3 linked regions of the Struthio camelus genome follow. The protein of the gene in region 1 interacts with the protein of each later gene in a biochemical or structural test. Links are inferred from orthologs where the notes say so. Each region holds a gene or a part of one and is shown in the gene's direction. Other genes may lie near its edges. The genes, in order: TMED10, COPZ1 and COPG1.

Region 1 (7,124 bases):
TATTTTATTCCACGCCTCTAGCAAACCCTGTTTATTTAGCTATATGACCAGGACACAGTATCTGGGGTCTCTGAGGCAGATTACAGGGGAGGTAGAGCAGTGTGGTGCTGATTTATGGCTGTTTAGCTATTGTTTATTTTTAGCTCATTGAATTAGATCCCTATCTGGATCATGATCATGATGGTGACTTAGTAGTTATATCCCAGCAATGAGTTAGGATATATCCCTTTAGAAGAAGAGGTTTTGCACTTCTCAGAAGACGTGGACAAGCAACTTTGCACGGGTTAGTAAAAACAGTGATTAGTATCACAAGGCTTACGTAGTTTATGCAGAAGTTTCTCAGTAGCTTGTAGTGCATTGCCAGATGTAAGACAGAATGCAAAAGGATTAGATCATAAAAGTAATTCTAGAATAGCTTTTAAGAACAAAATTGTTTCAACTTTTTATTGTTAAAAACAAAAAAAATGCAGAAATGGCAAAGCAGCTGAGGCAGAAGCAGAAAAAAAGTCTAATTACATCATTTACACACATTCATACATATTGTTTCATGGAGACAGCAAATTAAATAGTGTTGTTTTCTGAGATTCACCCTGGATACAAGATACATTTTAGTAAGGCAATACTAAGTATTGCCAACAATCTGCCAATTTCTTTTCCAGTTGAGAAAACAATTAAAAATTTGGTGGGAAAGAGCTTATTTTCCTCTGCAGCTACTGCCGCCTCACACTACAGAAGTATTAACAAGTTTCCAGGGCTTATTTGTTAATATGGAGATGAAAGCTAAATAATTTGTCGCTCTCTTCTTTATTTTCCAGTCCGCAACTAAACTGCACTGGGATGTTTGAAAATATAAGAAACGTACAGGGACAAAATGGTTTAAATTTTGGCAACGTGTCGCGATTTGCAGATGATAAGGTAGAATGGTATACACCCATTTGTCTACAGATTAATGGCAGCAAGAACAAATACTCGCCTGTAGCTAGTTGCCAAGCTCATATAATGCGTAACATTGCAAATTATGCTAAAATAGGTCATCATTTTATCTTGAAAGTTGTGTAACAAGTTATCAATCTTTTTTTCTCATCTGTTAAGAGTTTCAGAATTACAGGAAGTATTTCATTTTGCCAGCCTGGAATATGTGGAAATGTTAAGGCATGTCCCTGCAAGACTGTTATTTCTAAACCCGCAGCTGAAAGGATCTTAAAATGCCTTCCATCTGCTAGAAGTTACTTTGCACATTAAATGAAGATTGCCCCATTGCATTTGTAAGTGCTTCAGAGAGCGAAAAGATGGAAATTGTAAAGAGCATATCAGTACTACTTTCTTTCACAACATGCTAAAGCTCTAAGGCGTTTATGGTACAATTTTATAATTAGAACAATCTGAACTTGTAGCAGCTTATAGCATAATACCGTCATACAAGGGAAAGTTACAACAAAAGATCGATGATAAGTTTGTTGGTCATAAATGTAACTCTTATCTAAAAATGTACCATGACAAAATGGACCAAATAGGAAGGGACTGTATTCAGTATATATTTACTCTTTAATAGCTGACATCACACTTTGATTTTAGAAAATGAGGTTACTTTAACAGGACTGAGCCACTTTCTCTGATATTTACCCCAGAAAATAAGGCATCATTGAATGTTTTGAACTTGAGAGAAGATTGGCTACATATCACTGGTATGAGGAATGTTCTGCATAGAGAGATTTCTAGTGTTGTGCATGTTTCATCAGGAATTTTGTGGTAGAACATTACAACATTTCATATCTTTAGATTCAAGTAATCTTATGTTTCTTAAAGCTTGTGAAATAATATCTATTTTTGCCTTAAGTGCCATAATAGAAAGAATGTTTTTATTGTGCAAGTATACTTTGACATATTGCAGAAACCAGCTAAATATTTGTTACAGTTGAGCTTAAAATTAATTTAATTGTCCATGTAAGGAAAGATTTGTGAACTGATCAAAAAAAAAAAAAAAAGATGCACTGAAATGTGCAACAAGTAACCCTAAGTACTACTTCGAACAATAAACTGAAACTTAAAATAATGGACTGTATATTTGAGTACAGTCAACGTTCATTTAAAACATATAGGCTATGCTAAGGAAAACTGTGTTTCCCTAAAATGTCATTTAAATGTAGGAAAAGGCTTTGTGTAGGTCTTTTTTTTTTTTTTTTTTTTCATAAGGGTTCTCTTTATTTCCCTCCAAGCAAAGAGGTCAGTCTGTCTCTGTACAGTTGGGCATAGTTTCTGTTCCTTCATATGAAGGCCAGATCAGCTTGTTGCTTGAGTTAACGAGAAACGAACCCTGCCTTCATCATATCGTCTCAGGAAATATGAGTATATGCTTGTAAAAAACAGAGCTGTTCTTTAAAGCATTCTGGTCATGGCTTGGCCTGTCTTGGTCTGCGTGTAAGCATCTAGTCATAACATGTAGTAGTTTAAGTCTCTTAAGATTGAAGTTTGCACCGATTCCTGCTTATTACTTGCCATTAATGATATGTTTTGCCCACAGAGAGGAATGGTGACATTTAAAATAAATAAAAGTGAAACAACAGCGTAATAGGTATTTTTACACAAGCTAATAAAAATAGAAGAGCTTTTTTGTTGTTTTCTAGCAATATTACTATTTGTCCATTTCTTCTCCCTTTTCCTTACTTCCAAACACACCCAGATACTTGCAACCAATCCCAGGAGCTGACTACAGGTTTGGTAATCCTAACTGCGTATTTAGGAAATTTTCCTCCTTCCTTTCTCCCTGTGTCAAGGCAAGTTACGCTGAGGAACACTGCAAAGGCCAAAGGAATAAAAAGAGGAGAGTATTAATGCAGCTGGTGGGTTATTTCATGCTGTGTTCATAAAAGCTAAAATACTTAAAGTATCAGAGACCAAATGAAAAAAAAAAAACTAGATCTGAGCATACACTGGAAAGAAAAACAATTCTCCAAAGTGTCTTTAAAAATCATCATAATTATATTTAGTGGCAAAAACCGTAGCCTCTCTCTATCATTATTGTATGGTATTGCATGGTGCTGATCTACAGAAGTAAGACATCTGGTAAGACAAAATTTTCCTGGCTGAAGAAAACAGAGGGAAAATTACTCAGAAACTTTAAAAAAAAAATTTAGAAAGGGCACTGCATCTTCCACTGAAAGACTTGGCAGACGTCCAACCGTATGAAACGCTCTGGGAGTCTGTAACAGTTTAGATGGCTTGTACGTCCGTTGTGTGCACCTCTCTACCTTAACACATTTCGATTTTGTTAACTCATGACTGTGTTGTGTAACAGATCATTTCTTTAAAAATGTAACAGTCCACCAGTAAGAGGCAATGTTTAATACCTAACTCCAGCGAATACCCTTGTGCCTGGAGAAGACGATCAGAAACACACTTAAACTCTCAACGTTGGAAGCTGGTGCAGGAGGCCCCGAGTGTTGGTTGCAGGACAGAGGAGAAGGGGGTCCGGCGGCCCTAGGGTTTCCTGCGGCGGGTCTGGGTGACGCAGGGCGCGCTCGGGCACACACTGCGCCGCCGTGCACAAACCCCACCGACCCCACGGGGCCTGCGCGCGGCCTCCCTACCACGGCGGAGGGACGTGACCGGCCCTTTTCTGTTGGCCGCCAGTCTAGGCCGGCGCCCGCAGCCTTCCCTCAAGCGCGGCGTTTTGGGTCGCTACTCTAAAATTACCGACTGTGATTTAAGGCGCGCGGTAGCGCTTGCGCTACGTTCATTTTACTCTTCTGCCTTCCGACGTTACTGTTAACAGCGAGAGTTTTTGGGGGGACAGAACCGGGTGTGAACCTGCTCCCGGGCCTCCCGCACGTTTGCAACCTTCATGGCAGTTTTCTGAAGCCATCATTTACACTTTAAAAGAAAAATAGCGTCGCTTTGCCACGATCCCGGGTCCATTTTTATTCCCCCTGCTCCCCGCCGGCAGCCGAACAACCCTCAGCCCTCATACTCCAGCCCCCCCATCCCCCCCCCGCGGCTGCCCACACGCCCGCAGCCGCCCCTCCCCCCCAACCGCCGCCGCTTCCCGCCCCCCGCGCGCGCCCCGCCCCCTCCCCCCGCGCCGCGCCCGCGCGCGAGCCGCGCGCGCCCCCTGCGCTGACGCAGCGGCGGTGGCGGCGGTCACGTGGCGCGGAGGAGGACGCCCGGCCTGTCGCACCCGGAGCCGCCGCCGCCGCCGCCGCCATGCCGCTGCCGCCCGGCCGCCCCCGCCTCAGGCTGGCCCTGGCCCCGGCGCTGCTGCTGCTGCTGCTGGTGGGCCCGGCGCGGCCGATCTCCTTCCAGCTGCCGGGCAAGGCCCGCAAGTGCCTGCGGGAGGAGATTCACCGCGACACGCTGGTCACGGGCGAGTACGAGATCGGCGCGCCGCCGGGCTCCTCCACCGGCCCCTCCGCCAACCTCAAGGTGCGAGCGGGGCGGATCGCGGCCCCCCGGACCGCCGCCGGCGCCCCGGCCCGGCCCGGCCCGGCCCGACCCGCCCGCGCGCGGCCGCCGCCGCCGTGACAGGGCCGCGCGGGGCCGGGGCCGGCGCCGGACGTGGCGGGGGCGGGGCGCGGGCCATGGCGCCGCGCGCGGCCCGCACGTAACGGCCGCGGGGCTGCGGGCGGCTCTGTCCAGCGGCGGGGCGGCCTCGGCCGCGGCCCGGGCGGGCTTTCTGCGAGCGGAGGCGGCAGCAGCTGCGGGGCGCCGGGGAGCTGCCGGCCTGCGGCGGGGCCTGCGGCAGCCTGCCGTGCCGTGCCGTGCGCCCTCTGCACACCGGCGGTGCTTCAGGGCCGCAGGACAGGGCCCAGCGCTGCTGTGGCGGGTTCGCTGCGCTCTCCGTGTGGCGTGGCGGGGTTACGGGTTGTGACCCCAGGCCTCCGCCGGCGTTGTTCTCTCTGCGTGGCACGGAGGGACTGTGGCTCAGAGCGCCAGGCTGCGGCAGGTTTGTTTTCCGTAGGTGGCGGACTTCCAGCCTGTGGGCCCTCCGTCCTGACGTGGCCTGTGTTTCCATGTATAATGCAGCACATACATGGGTTATAGTTACAGATGGTGGCAGGCCTTGCCTTTTACGTTTCTCATGATGGGAAGGATTGGGGCGCCTCAGTGACAGACAGCTTCCAGTGACGTAGTAGAGGATTGTGACAGGGCTTGCTTTGTGTTAGGGAACAGTGTGGGTGAACAGCTCGCCCAGCGTTTGCTATCTGGGGATTAGGTAATGGGGGAGAAAGGTAGGTAACAGCTTAAGAAGTTACACCAAGGCTTGCTGTCCCCATGAGATATCATAGGGGGAGGCATGTGGATTATAAGACATGTGGCACCACGTGGGGGATGGGCCGCTGAGATAAAGCCGTCCTAGGCCTGCCTTTGTTGACACTGTGTAGGGAGGAGAGAATTACAGTGACGTGGCTGTTCAAGAGCTCCATCTCTGCCTATAGCCTGGTACAAAGGGGCCAGGCAGCAGATCATAGTGAAAAGGTCAGATGGGGGCTTAGAAACAAGCTTTTCATAAGCAGTTACTCTGTTCTTTCTGTATCATATGACTTACATGGATTTTAATGGGGCATTTTGGCATACTACCACTGCTGCGGTGTTCACTGCAGGGAAGAAAGCACCAAGATGATAGCCTGAAGGACCTTTACAGAGTATAGGGGAAAGATCAGCAGAATATATATGTGAATAATAAATCTATCTATGTGACAGGAAGCTATTAAAATAACACTTCAGCAGCTTCACTTTAATTCTGTTCATTATCTTCCTTCCCTGGGCTTTCTTCTCATTTCCCAACTATCCAAGTAAGGTCTGTTACTAATCACTCTAACTTAATCCATTTGCAGAAGCTTGCTTTCTGTCCGTCTTCTCTCTGAGCTTCCAGAGGATTTTAAAAGTAAGTGTACAAGCAAACAGTGACAAGGCTGTCTGCTCAAGAATCTCTAGGTTCAGAAATGGGAGTGTTCAGTGAGCACTGTGAGATTTTTCTGAAATCATGTTACCCTTGCAGCATCTGCCTTGAAATACCTGAAAACCGTGGGATAGGGGTAGTCTTGCTTGGTTATGTTTCTGGATTGTTGCCTTTTTTTTTTTTTTAATTGTTTTGTGCTGTATAGTTACATCATTTGTAACAGGAAACTTATCTGTATATAGACAGAACCAAAACAGCTTTGTGTCTGAGTTTGTGCAGGAAAGGTTAGTTCAGGGCGTGATATCTGCAGGTGGTCTCCCTCCTTCTGCACTGGATGGTCTGTTTCAGTTCCCTGAATTGGGCCACCAGAACGTAGGAGGTTGGTAGTTAATCTTGGCTGAGCTCAGTATGGTTCCTGTCCATGAGCTAAGTTCTGTGTTTGTGATATTCCAACACTAACAGTGGCACCCTCTGTTTCTGAGGAATCTGCCCAATTTGCCAGCTGGCTATGGAAGGGAGGCTTTTGGGTGGATGACGTCTTGCTTGGGCCCAGTCACGTGCATCTGTCCATTGTTGAGGCTGGCAGTTTGGGGAGTTGTTGGGCTGTTTGTCAAGGGAGAACAATGCCCTGTCTGTGGAGGATGGTGTTACTGTAAATAACGTTAGAATATCATGAAAAATCCCTTTCAGGTCAACTTCTCCCCCACAAGTGTTCTGACTGGGTTACTTGCAACTTCTCCCACCCCCGCATGCCCAACTGAATGGGTAATGTATTTGCCTGATTTGGGTAACAGTGTCCAATATTGAAGGAAGCAGACAGCAGAGCTTTTACTGTCTGAGATCCTGTTTATGAGCGGGCTATTGCTAGAGCTGTAAAGGACAAAAATGGATCAAGCTGCACAGTATCCTTTAGCTAAAGCTTAGCTCTGGTCCCTAGAAATCTCTAGAGGACAGTGCTCAAAATAATAGGGACAACAGTAACAAGAACTGTTTCTTGAGACTGAGAAGCCAGTGGGCACACCGTGCAGTATGTATGTGTGTGTGTGTGTATAATATATACACACGTATGTATATATATAATTAGACTGGCATCTTGGTTAATCAGAGCTGCGCTGTTGAATAGTGTGCGCTGCATGGTCACCAAAACATATACTTTTATGTCATGTCTGTGTGGTCGGATAGAGATGGCTCTGCAGTGCAGTTAGGCCTGCTTGCTTGAGCTTCCAGT
Region 2 (7,230 bases), on another chromosome or scaffold:
GGGCGGGGCCAGCGCCGGGAGCCGCCCCATGGCCTCCCCCAGCGCCGCCAGCGCCTGCGGGCACACGGCACCTCATTGGCTGCCCAGTGTTCCCCCCCCCCCACCTCCACGCTTCTGATTGGCCGGGGCCCCTCCAGCCTCCCCTCCCCGTTTCCCCGGGCCCTAGAGCCCCCCTCCCGCTTTCCCCAGGGCGCCCAATGACCCCCCAGGACCCTGACACCCCCCTGGACCCCTCGATACCCCCAGGGCCGACACCTTCCCAGGACCCCTAACCCCAACCCCCAACTCTAGATACCCCCTGTACACCCCCAACCCCCTCCTTGTCCCCCAGCCCCCTAGCCCCCCCACAGGGATCCCTAAATACCCCCTCCAGCCCCCCCAAACCCCATAGACACCCCCCAGGGACCCCTAAATACCCCCTCCAGACCCCCCAGACCCCTTGACACCCCCCAGGGACCCCTAAATACCCCCTCCAGCCCCCCCAGACCCCTATACACCCACCCAGGGACCCCTAAATACCCCCTCCAGCCCCCCCCAGACCCCTATACACCCCCCTAGGGACCCCTAAATACCCCCTCCAGCCCCCCCAGACCCCTATACACCCCCCAGGGACCCCTAAATACCCCCTCCAGCCCCCCCAGACCCCTATACACCCCCCAGGGACCCCTAAATACCCCCTCCATCCCCCCCCAGACCCCTATACACCCGCCCAGGGACCCCTAAATACCCCCTCCAGCCCCCCCAAACCCCATAGACACCCCCCAGGGACCCCTAAATACCCCCTCCAGCCCCCCCAGACCCCTATACACCCACCCAGGGACCCCTAAATACCCCCTCCAGCCCCCCCCAGACCCCTATACACCCACCCAGGGACCCCTAAATACCCCCTCCAGCCCCCCCCAGACCCCTATACACCCCCCTAGGGACCCCTAAATACCCCCTCCATCCCCCCCCAGACCCCTATACACCCCCCAGGGACCCCTAAATACCCCCTCCAGCCCCCCCAGACCCCTATACACCCCCCAGGGACCCCTAAATACCCCCTCCATCCCCCCCCAGACCCCTATACACCCGCCCAGGGACCCCTAAATACCCCCTCCAGCCCCCCCAAACCCCATAGACACCCCCCAGGGACCCCTAAATACCCCCTCCAGCCCCCCCAGACCCCTATACACCCCCCCAGACATCCCTAAATATCCCCTCCAGACCCCTTGACACCCCCCAGGGACCCCTAAATACCCCCTCCAGCCCCCCAGACCCCTATACACCCCCCAGGGACCCCTAAATACCCCCTCCTCGTCCCCCAGCCCCCTAGATCCCCCACAGGGATCCCTAAATACCCCCTCCAGACCCCTTGACACCCCCCTAGGGACCCCTAAATACCCCCTCCAGCCCCCCCAGACCCCTATACACCCACCCAGGGGCCCCTAAATACCCCCTCCAGCCCCCCCCAGACCCCTTGACACCCCCCTAGGGACCCCTAAATACCCCCTCCAGACCCCCCAGACGCCTATACACCCACCCAGGGACCCCTAAATACCCCCTCCAGACCCCCCAGACGCCTATACACCCACCCAGGGACCCCTAAATACCCCCTCCAGCCCCCCCAGACCCCTATACACCCCCCCAGGGACCCCTAAATACCCCCTCCAGCCCCTAGACCCCTTGACACCCCCCCAGGAATCCCTAAATACCCCCCTCCAGACCCCCCCTGTCATCCCCAGACCCCCTAGATACTCCCCAGGGCCCCCCCAGTTCCACCCAGGACCCCCAGTGTCCCCCCAGACTCCTCTATAGCCCCCCAGGGCCCCCCCAGGCCCCCCCGGCGCTCACCTCGGGGGCGCCCGGCAGCCCGCCGGGGTCACACATCCCCGTCCCGCTGCGCCCGCCTCCTCCTGCCGCCCCAGATAAGGGGTTATCGCCCGCCGCACCCGCCACCCCCCCCCACCCGGACGCCTGGGTCCCTCCCCGCCACCCCCCTGCTCCGCCGCCTGCCTCAGTTTCCCCAGGCGGGGAAGGGAGGGGGGCGGCAGCGGGGCCCCCTCTGCCACCGCGGTGCCACCCGCGTGTCCCCGGGGCAAGGCCACCCCCCCCCCGCCCCCGGCTGGGCGCAGGACGCCTGGGTCCCACTTCTGCTTTTGGGGAGGGGGCCACCCGCTTGCGCCAGCCCGTTGCCCAACGCCCGCCGAGGGGTTGCACAAGACCCAACCGACGAGCGGCAGCCGCCCTGGCCGTCCCCCCCCGCCACCCCCGTGTCCCCTGGGGGTGTCAGCACGCCGCCGTGTCCCCCAGCTCGGGTGCCACCCCTGGGCCACCCCTCGCCCTGCACCAGTGCCGCACACGGGGGTCCGGCGGCGGTGAGGCACCCGGGGCACCCTGCAATAACACGGCCCCCTGGAGACCCTACAATAACACAGCACCCGGGGCACCCTGCAATAACACGGCACCCTGGAGACCCTGCAATAACACAGCACCCGGGGCACCCTGCAATAACACGGCACCCTGCAGACCCTACAATAACACAGCACCCGGGGCACCCTGCAATAACACGGCACCCTGCAGACCCTACAATAACACAGCACCCGGGGCACCCTGCAATAACACAGCCCCCTGGAGACCCTACAATAACACAGCACCCGGGGCACCCTGCAATAACACGGCACCCTGCAGACCCTACAATAACACAGCACCCGGGGCACCCTGCAATAACACGGCACCCTGCAGACCCTACAATAACACAGCACCCGGGGCACCCTGCAATAACACGGCCCCCAGGAGACCCTACACAAACACGGCGCCCTGCGCTGGCGCAGCCACTGCAGCCGGCCGGGCCGGGGCCGCCGGGGCCCTTTCCGCCCCCGTTTCCCGTCGTTACCCGCCGGCCGGGGCAGCTGGAACCGCAGGGCCCCGGCGCCGTTATCGCCCCGCGCCGGCGCTGGCGCCGCGCCCCGCGTGTGCCCCGGCCCCGCTGCGGGCAAACCGCCCCGGCGCTCGCACACGCGTGTGCCGAGAGCTGGGCACGGAAACCTGCGTAGCCAACGCCGGGCACACGCACTGGTCCGCAGGTGCACGCGTGCACCGAGCCCTGGGCACACGCGTGCACCAGACCCAGGGCACACGCATGCACCAGACCCAGGGCACACGCGTGCACCAGACCCAGGGCACACGCATGTACCAACCCCTGAGCACACGCTTGCACCAGACCCAGGGCACACGCATGTACCAACCCCTGAGCACACGCTTGCACCAGACCCAGGGCACACGCATGTACCAACCCCTGAGCACACGCTTGCACCAGACCCAGGGCACACGCATGTACCAACCCCTGAGCACACGCTTGCACCAGACCCAGGGCACACGCATGTACCAACCCCTGAGCACACGCGTGCACCAGACCCAGGGCACACGCATGTACCAACCCCTGAGCACACGCGTGCACCAGACCCAGGGCACACGCGTGCACCGATCCCTGGGCACACGCATGCACCAGACCCAGGGCGCACGCGTGCACCGAGCCCTGGGCACACGCTTGCACCAGACCCAGGGCACACGCATGTACCAACCCCTGAGCACACGCGTGCACCAGACCCAGGGCACACGCGTGCACCGAGCCCTGGGCACACACGTGCACCAGACCCGGGGCACACACGCGTGCACCGACCCTTTTGCACATGCGTGCACTGATCCCTGGGCACACACATGCACCGGCCCCTGAGCACACGCGTGCACCAACCCCTGGGCACACACATGCACCAGACCCAAGGCACACGCGTGCACCGAGCCCTGAGCACACGCGTGCACCGATCCCTGGGCACACGCGTGCACCGATCCCCGAGCCCGCGCCTGCCCTGACCCCGGCCCACGTCCCCCAGCCGTGTGGCCCCGTGTCGCCCCACGGGAGCACACGCGTGTCCTGCCGCGCGGGCTCCTACCTGCCGCGGGTCACCGCCGGCGTCCGGGGGCTGGTGCTCAGGGCACGGCCATCGCGGGCGCCTCTGGGGACACGGCGGGGACACGGCGCAGCGCCAGCCCCCGGGGCGGCCCCGGCCCCCGCCCGCCCCCGGCACCCGCCGCAGGGACACGGGCACGGCGGGGGGGGACGGGACATGGGGACAGGGGAATGGGGGGTGCAGGGACAGGGGACGTGGGGGACACGGGGACAAGGAGACACGGGGACAGGGGTGAGGATGGGGACTTGGGGACATGGGGGCAAAGAAAGAGTGGGGGACAGGGGGACAGGGACAGAGGGGGGACCTGGGGCAACAGGACATGGGGACAGGGATGGGGACATGGGGACAGGGATGGGGAGGGGACAGGGATGGGGATTTGGGGACAGGGACAAGGATGGGGACAGGAGATGGGGGACAGGGGGCAGGGACGGGGTGGGGACACGGGGATGGGGGAGTGGGGGACATGAGGACAAAGGGACATGGGGATGGGGACATGGGACAGGGACAAGGGGACATGGGGACAGGGGAATGGGGGGCACAGGGATGGGGACAAGGGGACAGGGAGGGGGACTTGGGGACATGAGGACAGGGACAAGGATGGGGACAGGAGACGGGGGACGGGGACAGGGTTGGGGACACAGGGGACACAGCTCCCCCCCCCCCAGCAGGGCCCGGCGTTATCAGTAGGGCCCAGGGCATCCGCCCCCCCCCCCCCCCCCCGCAGGGGGCCCAGGCGTCCGGCCCCCCCCCCCCCATGGCGTGTCCCTGCGCGTGCGTGGCCGCCCCGTGTCCCCCTCCGTGTCCCTGCGTGTCCACGTCCCCCCGGCCCTGCACGTCGGGTTGGCCCCGTGTCCGTGTCACCGCGTCCCCCCCCCCGGTCCCCCCGTCCGCGTTGTGCCCACCACCGTCCCCCGTGTCCCTGTTGACCCCGTGTCCATGTCCCTGTCACCACGTCCCCCTGTCCCCTGTGTCCGTGTTGTCCCCGTGTCCATGTCCCCCTCCCCATCTCTCTGTGTCCCCCATGCCCATGTTGACCCTGTGTCCCTGTCCCCATGTCCCCTGTGTCCCTCTCCCTGTCTCCAACGTGTCTCCATGTCCCCATGTCCATGTTGACCCCTCACCCGTGTCCCTGTCCCCGTGTCCCCCATGTCCATGTTGACCCCTCACCCGTGTCCCTGTCCCCGTGTCCCCCATGTCCATGTTGACCCCTCACCCGTGTCCCTGTCCCCATGTCCCCCATGTCCATGTTGATCCCTCACCCGTCTCCCTGTCCCTATGTCCCTGTGTGCTCATGTCCATGTTGACCCTACGTCCCCCAAGTCCCCGTGGCCGTGTTGACTCCATGTCCCCACGTCCCCATGTCCATGTTGACCGCTCGCCCGTGTCCCTGTGTCCCCATGTCCCCCATGTCGTGTCCGTGTCCCCGTGTCCCCCCGTCCCCCCTGTCCCCGTGTTCCCCCGTCCCCCATGTCCCCGTGTCCCTGCAGTGTCCTGCGGCCCTGTCGAGCCCGTGGCCCTGTCCCTGTGTCCCCCCCGTGTCCCCCGATGGCCGTGCTGATCCTGTCCCTGTGTCCCCATGTCCCTGTGTCCCCCTGTCCCCCGTACCCCGTGTCCCCATGTCCCCCTGTCCCCCGTGTCCCCCCGTGGCCGTGTCCCCGCAGCATCCTGCGGCCCTGTCCCCGTGTCCCCCCCGTGTCCCCCCATGGCCGTGCTGATCCTATCCCTGTGTCCCTGTCCCCCATGTCCCCCGTCTCTGTGTCCCCCTGTCCCCCGTGTCCCCCTGTCCCCGTCCCCCATGTCCCCGTCCCCCATCTCCCCGTCCCCCTGTCCCCGTGTCCCCCCCGTGTCCCCCCATGGCCGTGCTGATCCTGTCCCTGTGTCACCGTCCCCCATGTCCCCCGACCCTGTGTCCCCCTTTCCCCCGTGTCCCCATGTCCCCCTGTCCCTGTGTCCCCCCGTCCCCCATGTCCCCGTGTCCCTGCAGCATCCTGCGGCCCTGTCGAGCCCGTGGCCCTGTCCCCGTGTCCCCCCCGTGTCCCCCCATGGCCGTGCTGATCCTGTCCCTGTGTCCCTGTCCCCCATGTCCCCCGTCCCTGTGTCCCCCTGTCCACCGTGTCCCCATGTCCCCCTGTCCTCCATGTCCCCCGTGTCCCCATGTCCCCCTGTCCCCGTGTCCCCCCCGTGTCCCCCCATGGCTGTGCTGATCCTGTCCCTGTGTCCCTGTCCCCCATGTCCCCCGTCCCTGTGTCCCCCTGTCCACCGTGTCCCCATGTCCCCCTGTCCTCCATGTCCCCCGTGTCCCCATGTCCCCCTGTCCCCGTGTCCCCCCCGTGACCCCCATGGCCGTGCTGATCCTGTCCCTGTGTCCCCGTCCCCATGTCCCCCGTCCCCATGTCCCCCTGTCCCCCGTGTCCCCCTGTCCCCCGTGTCCCCATGTCCCCCGTCCCCCTGTCCCCCGTGTCCCCGTGTCCCCGTCCCCCATGTCCCCCTGTCCCCGTCCCCCATGTCCCCGTGTCCCCCGTCCCCCTGTCCCCCGTGTCCCCCTGTCCCCCGTCCCCCTGTCCCCCTGTCCCCCGTGTCCCCCTGTCCCCCGTGTCCCCATGTCCCCCGTCCCCCTGTCCCCCCTGTCCCCCGTGTCCCCGTGTCCCCGTCCCCCATGTCCCCGTCCCCCATGTCCCCGTGTCCCCCGTCCCCCTGTCCCCCGTGTCCCCCTGTCCCCCGTGTCCCCCTGTCCCCCGTCCCCCTGTCCCCCTGTCCCCCGTGTCCCCCTGTCCCCCGTGTCCCCATGTCCCCCGTCCCCCTGTCCCCCCTGTCCCCCGTGTCCCCGTGTCCCCGTCCCCCGTGTCCCCCTGTCCCCGTCCCCCATGTCCCCCTGTCCCCCGTGTCCCCCTGTCCCCCGTGTCCCCGTGTCCCCGTCCCCCATGTCCCCCTGTCCCCCGTGTCCCCCTGTCCCCCGTGTCCCCGTGTCCCCGTCCCCCATGTCCCCCTGTCCCCCGTGTCCCCCTGTCCCCCGTGTCCCCGTGTCCCCGTCCCCCATGTCCCCCTGTCCCCCGTGTCCCCGTGTCCCCGTCCCCCATGTCCCCGTCCCCCATGTCCCCGTGTCCCCCCCGTGTCCCCCCATGGCCGTGCTGCTCCTGTCCCTGTGCCCCCACGGTCCCCCCTCCCCCCACCTGACCCCAGAGAGGCCAAAGGTCAAAGGTAACGGCCTCGCGCCCACTGGGGGTCATGACCCCGTTGGGGGCGTGGCCAAGCAACATGCGGGAAATGCTTCCGGTCATGT
Region 3 (7,924 bases), on another chromosome or scaffold:
GCCAGCAGATATTTAGAGCAGAGGGGACAAAGGAGAAGAGACACGGGGCTTTAGGCTGCTCAAGTTATTAAGCCACACGAGAATGAAGACTCTTAAATGAGGCACTCTGAAATCATTACACTTTTGGACACTATCAGATTTAAAAACTACTATTTAGCAAGTACCTGATGACAACAGCAGCATTAAAAAAAAAGAATTTAAGTAGTTAGTTTGAACAGCAAGACAGGGAAGCCATGAGAGTAGGTGAGAACTCAGATAAATGACACATTACATAGACTGATAGTTTCAGGAGGGGGGAACAAGTTGCAAGCCATTGCAGGAGACACTATTTTTAATAAATATCTGTACAGCACTCACAGTGACAAGGCAAGAATGGAGCATCATCATCAGTGCCCTCACAACTGGGAGAAGGGGCAGTTTCCTTTAGTAACATTCCCCCCCCCCCTAAAGTGGTCTATTGCAACAGAGTTGCAAGAAGAATGAGCACCCCAGTCCTGACTCATTCTTAAAGGTTGTTTTTTCTTTTTTAAGGAAGGAAGTAGTTTTAGTTTCTTGTTCACAGACTTATTATTCCCTGCTTACATCTGTAGGTTGAAAGCAATACACATGATGGTAAAGCATCAAACATCATTTACACGTAACAGTAGCTATCAGAGAAAGCAACTGGAAGGGGAGAGACAAGGGAACCATGCAGCAGGTATTAAAATTCCACTACACTTAAGGTTATTCCATACCTCGTAGAGAGAGGGTGAAAGGTTGGAGATGTCAAATTTGTTGCACGAGAGGCAGTAAATTGAAACCATGGCAATAAGCACTGTACTTCCAACATCAAGAAAGCTACAGGCTACACTTTCTATGTTAGCCCAGCACCACCACAAGTGCCACGCTATTACAATGCTGAAAACATTATCTCTGCGTTACACATCTGTATTTCTAATTTGACGGTTTAAGAGCAGGTATAGTTGGTTATGAGCCAAGACAGTTCTGATCACAAGACGACCACTGCACTAGCAGTTTGCATAATCCTGTCCCTAGGCCTGCATAAAGTTCTGGAGTTCCTGAAAAGTCATGATTCCTCATTTATCACTCAGGAATTCCTGTGCGGTACAGAACAAAGTGCAAGATTACAACTGATAAATTTATATCGATGACTAAGAAGAACTTTCTTTGCCTTTCTCCCAAAACCATGATATGGCCAAGTGAAAACCGTTTAATAGAAGCAGTGGATAGTTTTTCCTCTATTGAAGAGTTACCCTGCTCCCTTTAGAGTTCTTCTCCCTTCCCCTTTTACTTCAGTGTTAGAAGAATCAGATTTGTCATATATCAAGGGCTCTAAGAAGTGCAATAAACAATGAATAAATCTGAGATTAAGATCCAGTTCCAACTGTTTTTTGGTCCAGAATTTTTAACTCAGTGCATTACCACTGAATATTAAGAGCTAGTTGTTCTGATAGTAATCTTTACCTCCTGTGGCTCCCTTCCACCTTCCTCCCCTCCCTCCCAGCAAGGTAGAAACATTGAGCTGGAAATAAGCAGGAGAGGCCTCACACTTGATCTGAACAGAAGAGATGAGAGTACAGAAGGGGAAAGGAATTTAGAAGACTGAATAAGAGTTATTACTATTTCAGTTTTCCAAGCCAGGGATATCAAAACTGTTCCCCACCACCACACCAAGCTCCCTTGGGGAGATGAGTTTTCCCCCTTGCTTTCCAGAACCACTTTGCTTTGCCTAGTCATTTAGGACTCGCTACAATATCTCACTGCTAAACAAGGGCAGATGACACAGAAGTTTAAACCAATAGCGGTGCAAGAATGGCAAGAGCATGGAAGCCTCTTTTTACCACTTTGATAATCTAGTGAGTTGACTGTACCACATCCCCACCAAAAATTAAGAAGAAAATGCAGTGTTTTGGGGCCCCTGCTTTCACAAAAAATAGCTCAAAAACCTCACTGCAACCCAAAGCATCTTAATTGAGAGTCTGGGTCAACAGCTTTAAAAGCTGTAACTAGATACAACTTGTTTAACAAAAACTGGATTTAGAAGATGTATTTTAAGCCTTTGCAACATACACTGCTGCCAAGGCCACTTCAGCCTCATGGCTGGGCAATCCTTCAGTGTAAGCATTTACCCCCATTACAGAGAGCATAGGAAATGTATTCCTACTTCCATATTAAAAGCTTAATCATCACAGGCTCTGCTGCATCTCTTGTGTAAGATCTTGGGTCAAAAAGCTCTTAGAGCAACGCTCGAAAGACAGTCACATAGGCCTTAATTCAAAAGATGGTTAGAAGGTGATTTCCCAAAACTCTTTAGGAAAACCGAGCCTGATGAGAACAAACTACCAGCACATCACCCTGCCCCAAATGAAATGAACGTGTACCCTGATGCATTTCATATTTGAAGCTCTTCAATATGAGTTAGCTCAGGAGTAAGAGAAGTTCATTCTGTTCCCTTTAAATCAATGTAAAACTATAACATACAACAGAATTATTATTATTTTTAATCCAAAGCAGAGTTTAGACAGATTTAAGCAGGAAGTGCTAGGTCACTGCAGAGGATGCAATTTAGTTTTTCAGAGAGCAGCTACATCCTGCACTTAAACCCATCACCGCTTTCTACCAGCCATACCATGCCCTGCAAAAACCCCTCCGTACCTGGGGCTCTCACGTTTGTGCCGAGCCGCCTGGGCAGCCTCAACGGAGGAGAGCGATCGCTCTCAGATTTGTCACCTGTCCCCCCCTCCCCAGATAAAATAAACGTCCTGAACCCTACTCTAAACGCTCACCCACCTTTAAAAAAAAAAAAAGTAAAATAATAATAATAAACAGACACATATACACAAAGAGAGCTGCAACCGGGGCGTTGCTTTTGAAACGTTATAGGTGACGAGAGGCGGCCCGGCGGTTGATGGGGAGGAGGAGAAGGCGACAGGCCGTTTCCCTGCCTCTGCGGGAGCCTCCTGGCTCCGAAATCAGGGCAGCCGCGGGGGGAGCCGCCCCCAGCCCCCCTCACGGGCCCCCCCGGCCCCCTCACGGGCCAGGCCCGGCCCGCGGGCGACGCGCAGTCACTGACCCCACGATGGAGACGACGGTGGCGGCCACCATCAGGTAGTTGGTCTGGTAGTAGAGGAGGTTGCTGACCACCCTGTTGTTCCATTTGGAGATGTCCTTGAAGTCGGGCCGGGCGAAGCGGTCGGAGCCGGGGAAGAAGTCGTCCCAGGCCCGCAGCGGCGCTACCTGCACCTCCATGGCTGCTGCCACCTCCTCCTCCTCCTCCGCCGCCGCCGCGGGCACGGCGGCGCCGCGCAGGCCCTAAGAGCGCAGCGGCGCCGCCCCGGGACGGCTCGCTGGTTGGCGGCGGCGGCGGGCGGCGGAGCGGCGCGGGCGGGCGCGCTCTCGCGGCGGCAGGGTCGATGCGCCTAATTTGCTAATCTGCAAGAGATTGAAGAGGCGGAATGGCCCGGGGGGTGGGGGGATCCGGGTGGTGTGCGCTGTGCGGGGAGGTGGGGCAGCCGCTGGCAGGCCCGAGGAAGGCAGCAGGCGCAATAATCACCCCAGCCGGAGAGGCAGTAGTAAAAAATAACGATACAGGGCTTTTTCGAGGCCCTCTGTATATATATAAACGTATATATACACTGTAAATCCTTCAGCGAGGATGCGTTGGAGGGGAAGCGTAGTGCCAGCAGCCCTGGTGATTCCAACTCCGGTAGCGTATGATAAAATTGGTCCCTTCTGACCTCCGTTTTCTGCGGCTTGCGCACACACCTTGCCCGGGCACACGTCCCGCCGGCAGCTCGGTGCGCCCAGTCACGGTGGCAGGACGATAAAGCCCGACGCGAAGCGGAGGCCGGCAGTAAAGCGAGCGTGAGCGCAGCGCCGGAGGTCTGCACTCAATCGCGCTTCCCAAAGTCGGATTTGGGGAGCCAGAGTCCAAAAAATCACAAACCCTTAGCAGCCCGCGGCGCTGTTGATAAACGAAACACGTTTGCAAACGTGACTCGCAGGTAGCAGCCACCTGGCTGTGGGATATTGTGACATGCCGGGGGCTAATTCCACCTCCGGACTTTGTCCCTCGGCCTCCGACAGGGATCGCGACGCTGCGATGGCGGCGTGCTCTGCCCCCCCCCCCGAGGGGCTCTGGGGGAGATGGCAGGGGGACCCCGGGAGGCAGAGGGGGGATCCCCGCTGTTGGAGGGGTTGTGGGGCGAGGGAGGGAGCCCGCTGCGGGGTCCCGGGGTCGCCGTCGCGGCTCTGGCTCTCAAGGCACCGAGCGCAGGCCTGAACGTGATGGCGGCTGCGGTGAGGGATGGTTGGGGGGGGGGGGGAGGAGGCGAAGGAGTCCTCCTGTTGCCATGGAGATTAGCCCTCCCAGCGGCGCGCCCTGTGCCCCGCTCCATCTCTATGGGCCTGCCGCGCGGCGGCGCTCTAGCAAAGCACCGCCCATAGAGGCGCGGCGGGGCGTTCTTCATCTTTCTCACTCTCCCCAGTCCCAGCGCCCCCATCCCCGTGCGCCCCCCCCAGCCCAGTATACCCCCCCCAGCCCAGTGTGCCCCCCTGAGTCCCAATGCCCCCAGTCCCGGTGCCCCTATCCCAGTGTGCCCCCCGCCAGTCGCAGCGTCCCAGTCCCATTCCACACTCCAGGCTCCTCCCCGCCAATCAGGCCTCGCCCCTCCCTCCCCATCCCCGCCCCTCCTGTCAATCACCGCCGTCTCCATGGGCACACCTCCTCTCGCCCCGCCCCCTGAACTGCACCCCCCCCTCGCCCCGCCCCGCCCGGGGCCAGCCGGGAGGCCACGTCCGGGCGGGGCGGGCCGCGCCTGCGCAGTGCGGCCGGCGGTGGTGGCAGTGACAGGCTGGCAGGAAGGGGCGGGCGGCAGGAAGGGGCGGGCGGCGGCGACAGCGACACCGGCGCGGCGGGACGGGCACGGCAGGGCACGGCGAGGGGCGCTCGCACCCACCCACCCACCCAGAAGCACCATGCTGAAGAAGTTCGACAAGAAGGACGAGGAGTCGGGTGAGGGGCGGCCGGGGAGAGCGAGCTGTGAGGGGAGACGGCGGGGGGGGGAGAGAGGGGGCAGCTATGGAGGGAGCCCCCCCCCCCCGCTGCGGCCGTCGGAGGGGGCGGCCGTGAGGGGAGCCCCCCCCCCCGCTGCGGCCGTCGGAGGGGGCGGCCGTGAGGGGAGCCCCCCCCCCCCGCTGCGGCCGTCGGAGGGGGCGGCCGTGAGGGGAGCCCCCCCCCCCCGCTGCGGCCGTCGGAGGGGGCGGCCGTGAGGGGAGCCCCCCCCCCCCCGCTGCGGCCGTCGGAGGGGGCGGCCGTGAGGGGAGAGCCCCCCCCCCCCCGCTGCGGCCGTCGGAGGGGGCGGCCGTGAGGGGAGAGCCCCCCCCCCCCCGCTGCGGCCGTCGGAGGGGGCGGCCGTGAGGGGAGAGCCCCCCCCCCCCCGCTGCGGCCGTCGGAGGGGGCGGCCGTGAGGGGAGAGCCCCCCCCCCCCCGCTGCGGCCGTCGGAGGGGGCGGCCGTGAGGGGAGAGCCCCCCCCCCCCCGCTGCGGCCGTCGGAGGGGGCGGCCGTGAGGGGAGAGCCCCCCCCCCCCCGCTGCGGCCGTCGGAGGGGGCGGCCGTGAGGGGAGAGCCCCCCCCCCCCCGCTGCGGCCGTCGGAGGGGGCGGCCGTGAGGGGAGAGCCCCCCCCCCCCCGCTGCGGCCGTCGGAGGGGGCGGCCGTGAGGGGAGAGCCCCCCCCCCCCCGCTGCGGCCGTCGGAGGGGGCGGCCGTGAGGGGAGAGCCCCCCCCCCCCCGCTGCGGCCGTCGGAGGGGGCGGCCGTGAGGGGAGAGCCCCCCCCCCCCCGCTGCGGCCGTCGGAGGGGGCGGCCGTGAGGGGAGAGCCCCCCCCCCCCCGCTGCGGCCGTCGGAGGGGGCGGCCGTGAGGGGAGAGCCCCCCCCCCCCCGCTGCGGCCGTCGGAGGGGGCGGCCGTGAGGGGAGAGCCCCCCCCCCCCCGCTGCGGCCGTCGGAGGGGGCGGCCGTGAGGGGAGAGCCCCCCCCCCCCCGCTGCGGCCGTCGGAGGGGGCGGCCGTGAGGGGAGAGCCCCCCCCCCCCCGCTGCGGCCGTCGGAGGGGGCGGCCGTGAGGGGAGAGCCCCCCCCCCCCCGCTGCGGCCGTCGGAGGGGGCGGCCGTGAGGGGAGAGCCCCCCCCCCCCGCTGCGGCCGTCGGAGGGGGCGGCCGTGAGGGGAGAGCCCCCCCCCCCCGCTGCGGCCGTCGGAGGGGGCGGCCGTGAGGGGAGAGCCCCCCCCCCCCGCTGCGGCCGTCGGAGGGGGCGGCCGTGAGGGGAGAGCCCCCCCCCCCCGCTGCGGCCGTCGGAGGGGGCGGCCGTGAGGGGAGAGCCCCCCCCCCCCCGCTGCGGCCGTCGGAGGGGGCGGCCGTGAGGGGAGAGCCCCCCCCCCCCGCTGCGGCCGTCGGAGGGGGCGGCCGTGAGGGGAGAGCCCCCCCCCCCCGCTGCGGCCGTCGGAGGGGGCGGCCGTGAGGGGAGCCCCCCCCCCCCCGCTGCGGCCGTCGGAGGGGGCGGCCGTGAGGGGAGCCCCCCCCCCCCGCTGCGGCCGTCGGAGGGGGCGGCTGTGATGGAGGGAGGCCTGGGGCGCCCCAGGGCAGGAGCCCCCTGCGGTTGGGGGGCAGGAGGCGGAGCGGGCGCCGGGGAGCTGCCGTAAGCCGTCTGGGAGGCAGGTAGGCTGGCGGCACAGAAGCTAGCAAGAGCGACGATGTCCGAGGCCGCGCGTTTTGGAGGAATCCCGCCGTTCCCACGCTGTTGGGATGCCATCTGGTTGGCTGCTCCCAGTTGACTTTTGGGACCCACACCTCCACCCAGAATCATCTGACTCTTGAACGGCCGGGTTGCTCCGCAAAACGTTTTGTGCCAATGTAAAGCAGGAGATGGTTTTAGGGCGTAGAATTTGCAGAGGGCAAAGGCAGGTGCCGGATTGTCACGGTGGAAAGAGACGCTGGTGCGTTGGTACTAGCTTTGTACCCGGGGGTTGAATGGTGCGGAGATGAGTGCAATAAGAAGCACTGTGGAAATATTAGAGCAATCTGCTTTAGTACTCCTGTGATTTACAGAAACAGAGACTAAACCATTTGCGAAGTACTCCGAAGTTACCTACCGCATCATCAGGCGCTGGAGTCAGGGACTGAATCTCAAGCATGTATCCCTCAATCCTGTTCACAGCTGCCCAGCTATCAAAGCAGACGCTAACACAGGGTAGAAACTGATTTGTACCTTCTGGTGCTGGGTTTTTGACACACACACACACACGCACACACACAGTCTGCTCTTCTAACAAGACAGCTGCATACCTCAGTGGGTTTGAAATGCTAAGAGCATCAAATAAATGCTGTTTTTAAAGACGGGTTGACTGACTTTTCAAAACATTACACCTGAGTAATGCCTGGTAAGGAAGCGGTTGATATTTCATTTGGTGTGTAATTCATGTGGAATCACTGTTAGATATGACAGTGTTGAATAGCCATCTGAGTGTTTACTGTGTCTCCTGAAGTGCTTTGATTCAATGTAAATCTTAATGATTGTTCTCTGTAGACTGTGCTTACTGTTTGCTTTAATGTGCATTAAATGCCTTGCCCTAATTTTCAGCTTTTTCAGCCTCCCTTTTCTAGGGATTGTAGACATGCTACGCCATGGGAAATATTGCACTTCTAGGAAGATTTTTTTCAAACCCGTTTCTGGAACCCAGTCACGCACACGTACTAGAATTTTACATTAGTTTTATCCTTTCCCCTTGTTTCCCTTTTTTACCTGTCCTATGTAAATGTCTGTGCTTTGTTCCGCCACCTACTGCATTTACAAACTTATCCTGAGCCAGAGGAGTGGAGTTTATGAACCTGAAAGGGTCCAGGATGTAGATGTTTGCCTTTGAGTGTGAGAC

What was found.
Region 2: the proteins of TMED10 (region 1) and COPZ1 form a complex in vitro, tested with the Homo sapiens proteins (2 studies listed by BioGRID, with this or other methods). The link is inferred for Struthio camelus from reciprocal best matches to the Homo sapiens genes TMED10 and COPZ1.
Region 3: the proteins of TMED10 (region 1) and COPG1 form a complex in vitro, tested with the Homo sapiens proteins (2 studies listed by BioGRID). The link is inferred for Struthio camelus from reciprocal best matches to the Homo sapiens genes TMED10 and COPG1.

The regions. Positions count from the first base shown.
Region 1 is NC_090946.1:57,925,030-57,932,153, reverse strand, and holds the start of TMED10 (transmembrane emp24 domain-containing protein 10), read left to right. Parts: upstream 1-4,092; 5' UTR 4,093-4,200; coding exon 4,201-4,419; intron 4,420-7,124. UniProt on the Homo sapiens protein: Cargo receptor involved in protein vesicular trafficking and quality control in the endoplasmic reticulum (ER) and Golgi.
Region 2 is NC_090969.1:2,884,917-2,892,146, reverse strand, and holds the start of COPZ1 (coatomer subunit zeta-1), read left to right. Parts: upstream 1-4,138; 5' UTR 4,139-4,181; intron 4,182-7,230. Other genes in the region: NFE2 (transcription factor NF-E2 45 kDa subunit), read right to left, coding at 1-54, 1,834-1,869. UniProt on the Homo sapiens protein: The coatomer is a cytosolic protein complex that binds to dilysine motifs and reversibly associates with Golgi non-clathrin-coated vesicles, which further mediate biosynthetic protein transport from the ER, via the Golgi up to the trans Golgi network.
Region 3 is NC_090955.1:6,907,922-6,915,845, forward strand, and holds the start of COPG1 (coatomer subunit gamma-1), read left to right. Parts: upstream 1-4,847; 5' UTR 4,848-4,977; coding exon 4,978-5,014; intron 5,015-7,924. Other genes in the region: ARL6IP5 (PRA1 family protein 3), read right to left, coding at 3,074-3,249. UniProt on the Homo sapiens protein: The coatomer is a cytosolic protein complex that binds to dilysine motifs and reversibly associates with Golgi non-clathrin-coated vesicles, which further mediate biosynthetic protein transport from the ER, via the Golgi up to the trans Golgi network.